Oryzias latipes: one gene and its partner. The protein of the gene in region 1 binds, or shares a complex with, the protein of each later gene. Links are inferred from orthologs where the notes say so. Each region holds a gene or a part of one and is shown on either strand. Other genes may lie near its edges.

The links. Proteins that work in one complex are often made in the same cells at the same time.
Region 2: ropporin-1-like protein (region 1) and DPY30 domain-containing protein 1 share a complex: the UniProt entries of both Homo sapiens proteins name them as parts of the axonemal radial spoke complex. The link is inferred for Oryzias latipes from reciprocal best matches to the Homo sapiens genes ROPN1L and DYDC1.

The regions. Positions count from the first base shown.
Region 1 is NC_019878.2:13,557,547-13,562,427, reverse strand, and holds the start of ropporin-1-like protein, read left to right. Parts: upstream 1-1,721; 5' UTR 1,722-1,874; intron 1,875-2,134; 5' UTR 2,135-2,174; coding exon 2,175-2,305; intron 2,306-4,881. UniProt on the Homo sapiens protein: Functions as part of axonemal radial spoke complexes that play an important part in the motility of sperm and cilia. Important for male fertility.
Region 2 is NC_019877.2:16,025,904-16,031,021, reverse strand, and holds DPY30 domain-containing protein 1, read left to right. Parts: upstream 1-1,824; 5' UTR 1,825-1,892; exon of another isoform or gene 1,893-1,952; intron 1,953-2,011; 5' UTR 2,012-2,035; coding exon 2,036-2,185; intron 2,186-2,761; coding exon 2,762-2,881; intron 2,882-4,640; coding exon 4,641-4,835; intron 4,836-4,942; coding exon 4,943-4,954; 3' UTR 4,955-5,074; downstream 5,075-5,118. UniProt on the Homo sapiens protein: Functions as part of axonemal radial spoke complexes that play an important part in the motility of sperm and cilia. Plays a crucial role during acrosome biogenesis.

The sequences.
Region 1 (4,881 bases):
ACTTTTTATCTACGTACTTATAGTTACACTAAAGAAAAACCTTCAGATCAGTAGTGAACTGTGCCAAAGAATAATGCATGTTCAGTTTAACCCTTGTACTATCTTAGATGACCCCACCCTTGCATTGATGTGTTCTCCCTACCATGATAAAGGTGGAAAGATTTCATGTAATCCACCAGTGAAGATCACAAATCATTGAAGATAAAAAGGTTCAGAGCACTGTCTAGTGCAGGGGTCGGGAACCTAAGGCTCGCGAGCCATATATGGCTCTTTTGATGGTCACATGTGGCTCGCAGACAAATCTTTAATTCAAATTTTTTTTCTTCATTAGACCAGTCCTTCTCGTGCGCGATGCGATGGCAGAGGCGCGCAGTAGTAGCGGTGCTTAGAGAGACAAATCTGCGCCAGCACTAGTCTTCTTCCACTTTCGGCTTCTCCCATCAGGGGTCATGGTAAATTTGGCAATGTTTTACGCCGGATGCCCTTCCTGACGCAACCTTCTCAAACTGGGCTTGGAACCAGCAGAGGTAGAGAAGGGAACAGGGAGCAGCCCGGAGTCGAACTCGGGTTTCACGGATGGAAGGCGCCGCAAACCAGCATGAGCTAAACTGGCTCCTGCGCCAGCACTAGTATAAGTTTAAAATTGTCTATTAATTCACAGAGTTTGTACCACCCGGAAACCTGTGAATTGCCGTGCCTAAAACTGCGCGCTCCCGTCTCTGAGAAAGAGCGCGCAGTTGCGGGGACGGGATGTGTGAGGGAGAAAGCAGAGGGTGGGGCTGAGGTGTTGTGGGGACAGGCAGCAGGTGAATCGCGCAGGGATTGTAAATAGGTAAAACCCACTGCCTGTCACTCACTGCAGCGTGTGAGTGTGTGTTTGGCTCCAGGTCCGCATGTGAGCAGTCTGTCTCACATCTACAAAACATTCATACCAACCTAAGATCACGTTTAAAGTCTCAACGCCTGCATGAAGCAGAAACTCACCACGTAAACCAGACTAGACCATCAGCAAAACTACCACGAGAAATACTCATCATTTATTAGAAACAGCATAACAATGTTATTAAAAAGAATCCACAGACTTATTGTACTTTAAAAAGGTTGAAATTACATCAAATGCACACATTCACTTGTATTTTAGTTTTAAACATATTGTCGCGGACTGAGTTGGATGGCTGTTGGGCCGCGTTAAAAGTTCTGGAGTTCATTGACCGCATCAAGCAGAGAGCTGATTGGCTCTCAGTTCTGTCGCTCAGCCTGTTGTTAGGTAGTTTGGACCAATGGGGTTCAGCTATGGGCCGAATAAGGGAAAGGGGAGGGCTGCAGCGGGAGCAGGGGAATATAAAGTTGGGAGACGCGCTCTCGTCTCGTCTCGGCGGGAGAGATTCAGGAGTTGCTGAATTAATTGTTCGGCGTTTGTCGCGGTCTGCAGTAACCCGAATAAAGAACCTTAAAAGAGGTTAAGTCTCCGTGCCTCAGTGTGGGAAAGGGACACTACATTATTGTATGGCTCTTTCGAAATTACATTTCAAAATATGTGGCGTTTATGGCTCTCTTGGCCAAAAAGGTTCCCGACCCCTGGTCTAGTGGGTCTAGATGACCCAACTCCCAATGGTAAAGTGCCTAGGATAGCACAAGGGTCAATGACATTCTGTAGTAACATTTCTAAAACAGCAGGGGGCGATATGCACATGCGGCTCCATTGACCTCAGCGACAGAAGAAGAATTCTGTTGCCATGCGACGGTAATATACAACTGTCAGTTTACGGACACGAATTGTGGCGTAAATCAGAAGGACAGCAATTACGATTTTTTGGTGAACATTTTAAGGCATTTTTTGCTTATTACTATTTACAGTCTACATATTTTTCCAGGTAACGTAATATGATTGTTTTTCTCAGCACTATAAATAATTATCACTTAATTTAAACGTATGTGTGATGCACGCACATGCTAAATGTTGCAAAGATGTCGTGACGTAGTCAGTAAGGGATTTCTGCATTTTGTTAACACTTCAATTATTGTTTGTTTAATGCAATGTTTTTATTTGGAAGGGAAATAAATGGGTTATTCATACCAAACTACTAAACTAACTAAAAATTACTAATACAATTAATTTCTTATTTTTGTTTAGTACTTGCTGGCCGACAAACTACAGTGCACGTATTTCAGCCATGCCCCTTCCAGACACACTGTACTGTGCCGAGCAGATCAACATTCCACCAGAACTACCAGATATCCTCAAAAATTTCGCCAAAGCAGCCATCCGAACGCAGCCCATGGACTTGCTTGCCTGGAGTGCAGCGTGAGTTTCTTCTTCTTTCTCTTTCGGCTTTTCCCATCAGGGGTCGCCACAGCGAATCATCCTTTTCCACCTCACTCTATCATGGACATCTTCTACCCTAACATTAGCCAACTTCATGTCCTCTGTTAAGACATCCATGTATCTCCTCTTTGGCCGTCCTCTCGCCCTCCTGCCAGGCAGCTCCATCTCCAACATCCTTCTACCAATATATCCACTATCCCTCCTCTGAACATGTCCAAACCATCTCAGTCTGGCTTCTCTGACTTTGTCCCTAACACAGACAACATGAGCCGTCCCTCTGATGTACTCGTTCCTTATCCTGTCTAACCTGGTCACTCCTAAGGAGAACCTCAACATCTTCATCTCCGCTACCTCCATCTCAGCCTCTTGTCTCTGTCTCACTGCTACCGTCTCTAACCCATAGAGCAGAGCTGGTCTCACCACTGTCTTGTACACCTTTCCTTTGAGTCTTGCTGACACTCTTCTGTCACACAACACTCCTGACACTTTCCTCCACCCGCTCCAACCTGCCTGCACTCGCCTCTTCACCTCTTTTCCACACTCCCCATCACACTGAACTGTTGACCCCAAATACTTAAACTCCTGCACCTTCTTCACCTCATCCCCCTGTAACCTAACGCTTCTACCTTGATCCCTCTCGTTCAGACACATGTATTCTGTCTTACTACGACTGACCTTCATGCCTCTTCTTTCCAGAGCAAACCTCCACCTCTCTAGCTGTTCCTCCACCTGCTCTCTACTCTAACTGCAAATTACAATGTCATCCGCAAACATCATTGTCCAGGGAGATTCCTGTCTTACCTCGTCTGTCAGCCTGTCCATCAGCATAGCAAACAAAAAAGGACTCAAAGCTGATCCTTGGTGTAGTCCCACCTCCACCTTGAACTCCTCTGTCTGACCTACAGCACATCTCACCACCGTCATACTTCTCTCATACATGTCCTGAACTACTCTGACATACTTCTCTGCCACTCCAGACGACCTCATACAGTACCACAGCTCCTCCCTCGGCACCCTGTCATACGCCTTCTCTAAATCTACGAACACACAATGCAGCTCCTTCTGACCTTCTCTGTACTTTTCCATCAACATTCTCAAAGCAAAAATGGCATCAGTGGTGCTCTTACGGGGCATGAAACCATACTGCTGCTCACAAATCTCCACCTTCTTCCTAAGCCTGGCTTCCACTACTCTTTCCCACAGCTTCATTGTGTGGCTCATCAACTTTATTCCTCTATAGTTGCTGCAGTTCTGCGTGTCACCCTTGTTCTTAAAGATCGGAACCAGAACGCTTCTCCTCCATTCCTCAGGCATCTTCTCACTCTCTAAAATCCTATTGAACAACCTTGTTAGAAATCCCACTGCTGTCTCTCCTAGGCACTTCCATACCTCCACAGGTACGTCATCAGGACCAACGGCCTTTCCGCTCTTCATCCTTTTCAGAGCCTTCCTAACCTCATCCTTTTCAATCTCTGCTACTTCCTGCTCCACAACAACCACATCTTCCTCCCTTCTTTCCCTGTCATTTTCCACGTTCATCAGCTCCTCAAAATACTCCTTCCATCTTTTTTGTACACTCTCCTGAGTTGTTAGCACCTTTCCATCTCTGTCCTTAATCACCCTTATCTGTTGCACGTCCTTCCCATCTCTGTCTCTCTGTCTGGCTAGCCTGTACAAGTCCTTCTCTCCTTCCTTTGTGTCTAACCTGTCATATAGCTCATCGTAAGCCTTCTGTTTGGCCTTTGCCACCTCTCTCTTCACTCTACGCTGCGCTTCCTTGTACTCCTGTCTACCTTCCTCAGTCCTTTCTACATCCCACTTCCTTTTAGCCAACCTCTTCCTCTGGACGCATTCCTGTACTTCCTCATTCCACCACCAAGTCTCTTTACCGTCTTTCCTCTTTCCAGATGACACACCTAGCACCTTCCTACCTGTTTCCCTGATAATTTCTGCTGTAGTTTCCCAGTCATCTGGAAGCTCATCCTGACCACCCAGGACCTGTCTCAACTTCTGCCTAAATTCCTCACAAGTTTCTTCATTCTGTAGCTTCCACCACTTGGTCTTCTTTTCTGTTTTCCCTCTCTTCTTCTTCCTGACCTCCAGAGTCATTTTACACACCACCATGCGGTGCTGTCTGGCTACACTCTCTCCTACCACCACTTTGCAGTCGTTAACCTCTCTCAAATGACCTCGTCTACATAGGATGTAGTCCACCTGAGTACTCCTACCTCCACTTCTGTATGTCACTCTATGTTCCTCTCTCTTCTGGAAGTAAGTGTTGACTACAGCCATTTCCATCCTCTTCGCAAAGTCCACCACCATCTGTCCCTCCAGATTCCTTTCCTTCACACCAAACCTGCCCATCACCTCCTCATCACCTCTGTTGCCCTCACCAACATGTCCATTAAAGTCTGCTCCAATAACAACTCTCTCTCCTCTGGGGATACTCTCTATGACCTCATCCAACTCACTCCAGAATCTCTCCTTCACTTCTAACTCACAGCCAACCTGTGGCGCATACCCACTGACTACATTCACCATCACCCCTTCAATTT
Region 2 (5,118 bases), on another chromosome or scaffold:
ACGACGACCACCACCAAGGGAGATCTCTAATCCAAACCCTCACCAGGAGTACCTGCTCAGGGCCCAAATTCACACAAACACACCACAACCCAAACAGTGATTAAAAGAAAATACAAAACAGAAGAGGTGCAACTGAGCAGGACACCACTAATTTGTAGGCCGGAAATGGGGGGGGGGGGGAAATCCCCCTTACACAATACTACACATGGCACCCACCAGCTACCGTAAGGATAAAGGGAGGAGGCAGCCACCTCCAGCCAGGTCCAACCACCAAGAGACTAAAATGAGCAAACAGTTTAAAAAAATGGATAAGAGCAAGGGTGTCAAGCTTGATTTAAACATTAAAAACACTAAGCAAAACAGCAGTGGCAACTCTGCTGGAAAAAGAAAAATAAGTTAGTTCTCCCTGGGACAAATACATGTTTACAAACCCTTATGTTACCGCTCATGCCCCAGGGTCAGAACTCATGCCACCACCTGTTAATATAAATAGAATTTAAAATGTTGCAAACTCAAATGCTTAAAAAACTTTTGTAAAAGGACTCAAATGATTAAGCTTTAGCTTAAAAAAAAAAAAAAAAAAAAAAAAAAAAAAAAAAAAGCCCACATGTCAAGCTCACCCACCAAGGCCAAACCAGCATCTAGGTGGAACTCACAGCTGCTATTTATCAGCCTCATGAGCCAATCACAGCTCAACAGACAGGTGCTGGCCATGAATATTAACCTATGGAACACCACGAGGGACAAACTACCACCCACAGCCCTGTCTGTCATATAACGATAAAACAGGGATAAAGAGGGAGTTTCCAACTGAGGTCTGTTTCTAACAGTTTGTTTAAAACAAGGTTTTTTTTTATAATGAGACTGCCACTCTGTAAATAACAGAACCAAAAAAAAATCCAAACAATTGCAAAAATCCCAGTGCAAGAAATTGTAATGTAATATGGAGGGGAAAAAGATGAAAAATATATATAAGACATTCTAGACATGTATCTTTCTCAGTTATTATAAGTGGCAATTTCTCCCATTTTTCTACTTAAACATATTACCAAATGGCCCACTTTTTAAGGACAGAACAGTTTATCATAACAGTAGATAAAGCCATTGACTGTACAATAGGACATTATGTTTTAATATATCTATTATGCAGTCAGTAAGACTAACAGGGTCTGCGCCACCTAGTGGTAAAAATTTCGTAAAAATGCACAAATCACATTTTTCTTTGAGTGTGAATATAGAATCTTCCAACAATTTTATTTCTGCTTTTATTAAATAACTATGTAGTAGCATCTGCACCATTTAGATTAAGATAACTATTAGTTTTATGAATTCCTTTTTTAACATAGTCTTTTGAATTATTCCTCCCCCAATTTCTGACATTCTGTGACTGATGTCTCTTTCTGCTTCATAACACATTGAAGCAAAACTTGTAAAGATGCAAAAGAATTTTAATATTGTTTTATTGAGTTTAACTACTGGAAAGCAATTTAAAACACATCTCAAAATGATCACTTTCTCGTCAAAATATTTAATCTGTTTCACAAATACTATTTTGTGCGTCTGTGTATGGGTGTGTGTATGAATGACAATGAGGTTTTTTCACAAATATTTCTTTTTGTCTGTAGTTTTTTTTGGGGGTGTTATTAATATAATTGAGGATTATTATTATTATTATTATTATTATTATTATTATTATTATTATTATTATTATAAAAATCATCATCACCATCATCATATTTATAGTAGTAATAACAATGCCTGAAACAACCAATGGTTGCATTATAGAAATGACATCGAATACAAAGCGGAACTAAAAAACGGTTGGGAGACTTTAAACTGTGTGGGACCGTTACCACGGAGATGCAACCGTCCGCATAAAACAGTAAAATACGGTAATTTCCGTGTTAATTTTGGCTAATTTGTGCAGGTTTTATCCATAAAATCGCTTTCAGGTCATTTTTGTTCGTCATTATTGCCTTAATAGCTCCGAGCCTCCATATTTGCTCTGTAGATAAACAATCAGAAAACGTGTAGCATGATGGATTCGGAGTATCTTAATAAACATCTGGGGAAATGTTTGGCTGAAGGACTTGCTGAAGTGGTTGAACGGAAACCCGTGGACCCTATCCTTTATTTGGCCCACTGGCTGTACAAGTATAACTCAAATACGCTGTACGAGAAGAAGGTGAGTCGTTTTGTTGTTTTCACCAGCAGGGGGCACTAAAGGATGCAAACACAAAAGTTGTTGATTTACAGTGTTTTTAAGCATTACGTGGTTTACTTTTCCGTGTTTTCCATTTACAAAACGCTATAAAAACATAAAGTGATTGCATATATCATAATTTTTTTGAAACGTTGTCTTGCAAATGCAGTGCTGAATTAGAAACTATTAGAAAAGTGTGTAAACACACCAACCATAGTGTCATTTTTTTTTTAAAATGATGGATCTAGATTTTGCACTCCAGCTGCTTCTGATTATACCCATGTTGTTGCATGCCGTCAAACAGGTTTTAAGAGGATAACAGTGTTAGAGCACGTAAACTCATTATGCTGCAGGATGTAAAATAAGTAGGGCCTCAACAACAAAGACTCACCTTTTACCTTTAACACAGAAACTGTCTGTACCTCTACTGACACACAGCTGAGCCCTACTTAAAACAAAATGAAAGTTTAAACATTTTATGGTTTATATAAGATGTATACTTGTAAACTTTAGACTTGTAAGCTTAGATTTGTTCCTGTATCACCTTTGTATTTGCAGAAGAAGGCAAGTCTGGCTCTGCTGGATCAAGATCAGGAAAAAAGCAGCCAAGAAGCATCACATCAGGAAAATCTCACAGAAGAGGAGCAGATCAGTAATGCATCAAAAGGCACAGAGAAAGTACTTTCTCACTTTCTATTGCTAACTTAAAAGTATTTGATTTTAAACATCCTGAATGCATAGCTGACATTTTTAAAGACCTACTCTAACCATCTTTTGATCTATTTTCACAGAATTCCCAGTGGTCTTGTAATTCAAATTCAACTTTACTTGTGCACCACTTTTTCGACTACAAAGCCTCTCAAAGTGCTTTCCATAATAAAATAGATAATTGTAAGATAAAAAACAGTAGTTAAAATAGCAAACATAGTAAAAATAATAATGATAAAATAAAATTAACAACATTAAAACACATACAGACCCAAAACATACACATCCCACAGGTACAATCAAAATGAAGCGCATCAATTGCTGATAAAATTTATAAAATCTAATGAAAACATGTTGACAAGTAAAAACTACATAAAGGCTTTACTAAAAAAATGAGTTTTAATTTTTTTCTTAAAAACCTCCACAGTGGATGAAGCCCTCACCTGCCTGAGGAGACGTTCCACATGGAAGGCCCACAGTACTGAAATCAGGCCTCGTCGTGGGTTTTTGTTCTGACTTTTGGGACCACCAGCACACCTCCACCTGTGGATCTAGGAGGGTCATAAACTAAAAGTAAATCTAATAAAAAAATGAGGGGCCAACTCCATTTAAACTTTTAAAAACAAATGAAAAGAACTTTAGAATCAATCCTAAAGCTGACTGGGACCCAGTGGAAAGATTTCAAAATATTTCTTTATTTTTTTTCTTTAGCACTGCAATAGCCTGGTTTGTTTAGTCACAGGAACAATTCAAGCTGGCCATCTCACCATTTGCAGGAAACGTTCCCAGCTAGGTTAATTCACAGCTTTGCTGGGCTCAGGTGAACGTCGCGTCTGCGACTATGATTGTGCCGTATCAATCAATTATGAAGATTTTAGTCAAAAATCTAAAATCTGTGGTTTTCCGGGACATAGTTTCTACAGAGCAGTAGTAGTTCATCAGAAATATGCCTCTGATTCGTGGGTGGTTTGACCCCTTCCCCCCTTACCGGTACCAGTATTTTGAAACCCTCTCCCGTTAGCTTACAGCCCCTCACACCCACCTAACATGACTGGTGCAACAGAAATGGTGAGCAATACCGGAGCTGTTCAGATGTACAGTTTTGAACCACATGCCAGCTTGGACGAAGAAAACGCCGACGTACCTGGATACATAACAAATATGATCTTTTTCAAACTGCATTTTTTTGTTTGCTCCCAATTAACAACAATTTGAAAAAAGAGGTACTTAAAAATACAATTTAGAGCTTAACTTTCTTTTCATATTATGTCCGCCATCATGACATCTTTTGAATATCAGGCCATTGTTTTTAACAACATGTTAAAAACACAGTTTTCATCAGAGTGGGTCTTTAAAGGCCTAAAACTTTAACCCCCCTCTGAGGAGCCACAGATTAGCTCAGACACTAGAGACAGACGCTGAGACAGACAGCACTATTCAATAGTTAAGCATCAGGAGGCAAATGGGCAGCGCATGAGGGAGGCTGCTGATAAAATCGACTCCAGATGAGTCACGCACACTGCAGAGACAGAATTAAGGAATCTACTCCAGCGTTACAGGCAGGATCTGCACATTGATTCTTAAAAAATGCTGTATAATACAAGTTTGAAATACATTGCAGTCTGCTTTAATAAAACAAATGCTTTTAATAGTTCTTATGTTGAGCTAAAAGTCCTAAAACTCTTCAAAAAATGTGTTTTTTAAATGTAATTTCTTTACTTTTTCTTAGACTGATGATGTGGAAACTGAGAAACTTGAAGATGTCATCCGGTCCTCGTCAGTGCTCCAGAGTGAAGATGCTCAACCCGATGAGACAATTCACCATGAAAAAAAAGAGGAAGACATAACTGACCGCAACCATGAAGAAAAGGAGGAAGAGATGAGAGAAATCAAAGCAAGTCCATCTCCTATCGGTCTAGAAAAGGTAAGTATTTGTTGTTTTTCTCAAATATTTGGTACATCAAAATGTGTGTTCAAAAAGTACAGAAAGGAGCAAACGTTTGCTGGTATTTACTGGACACTTTATTGCAGGAGGCTGCATGATGGAAATTTTGGACCAGTAAGTCATTGGAAGGAACCAGAAAGTCATCAGAAGACTGCCGGAATATGACAGCAATGACGGATCACAAGATAAATAAATAAAAAGTGCTATTTTTTTCCTGATATCTTTGTTTAACATTTTGATATTTTATTTTATTGGAGTAAAT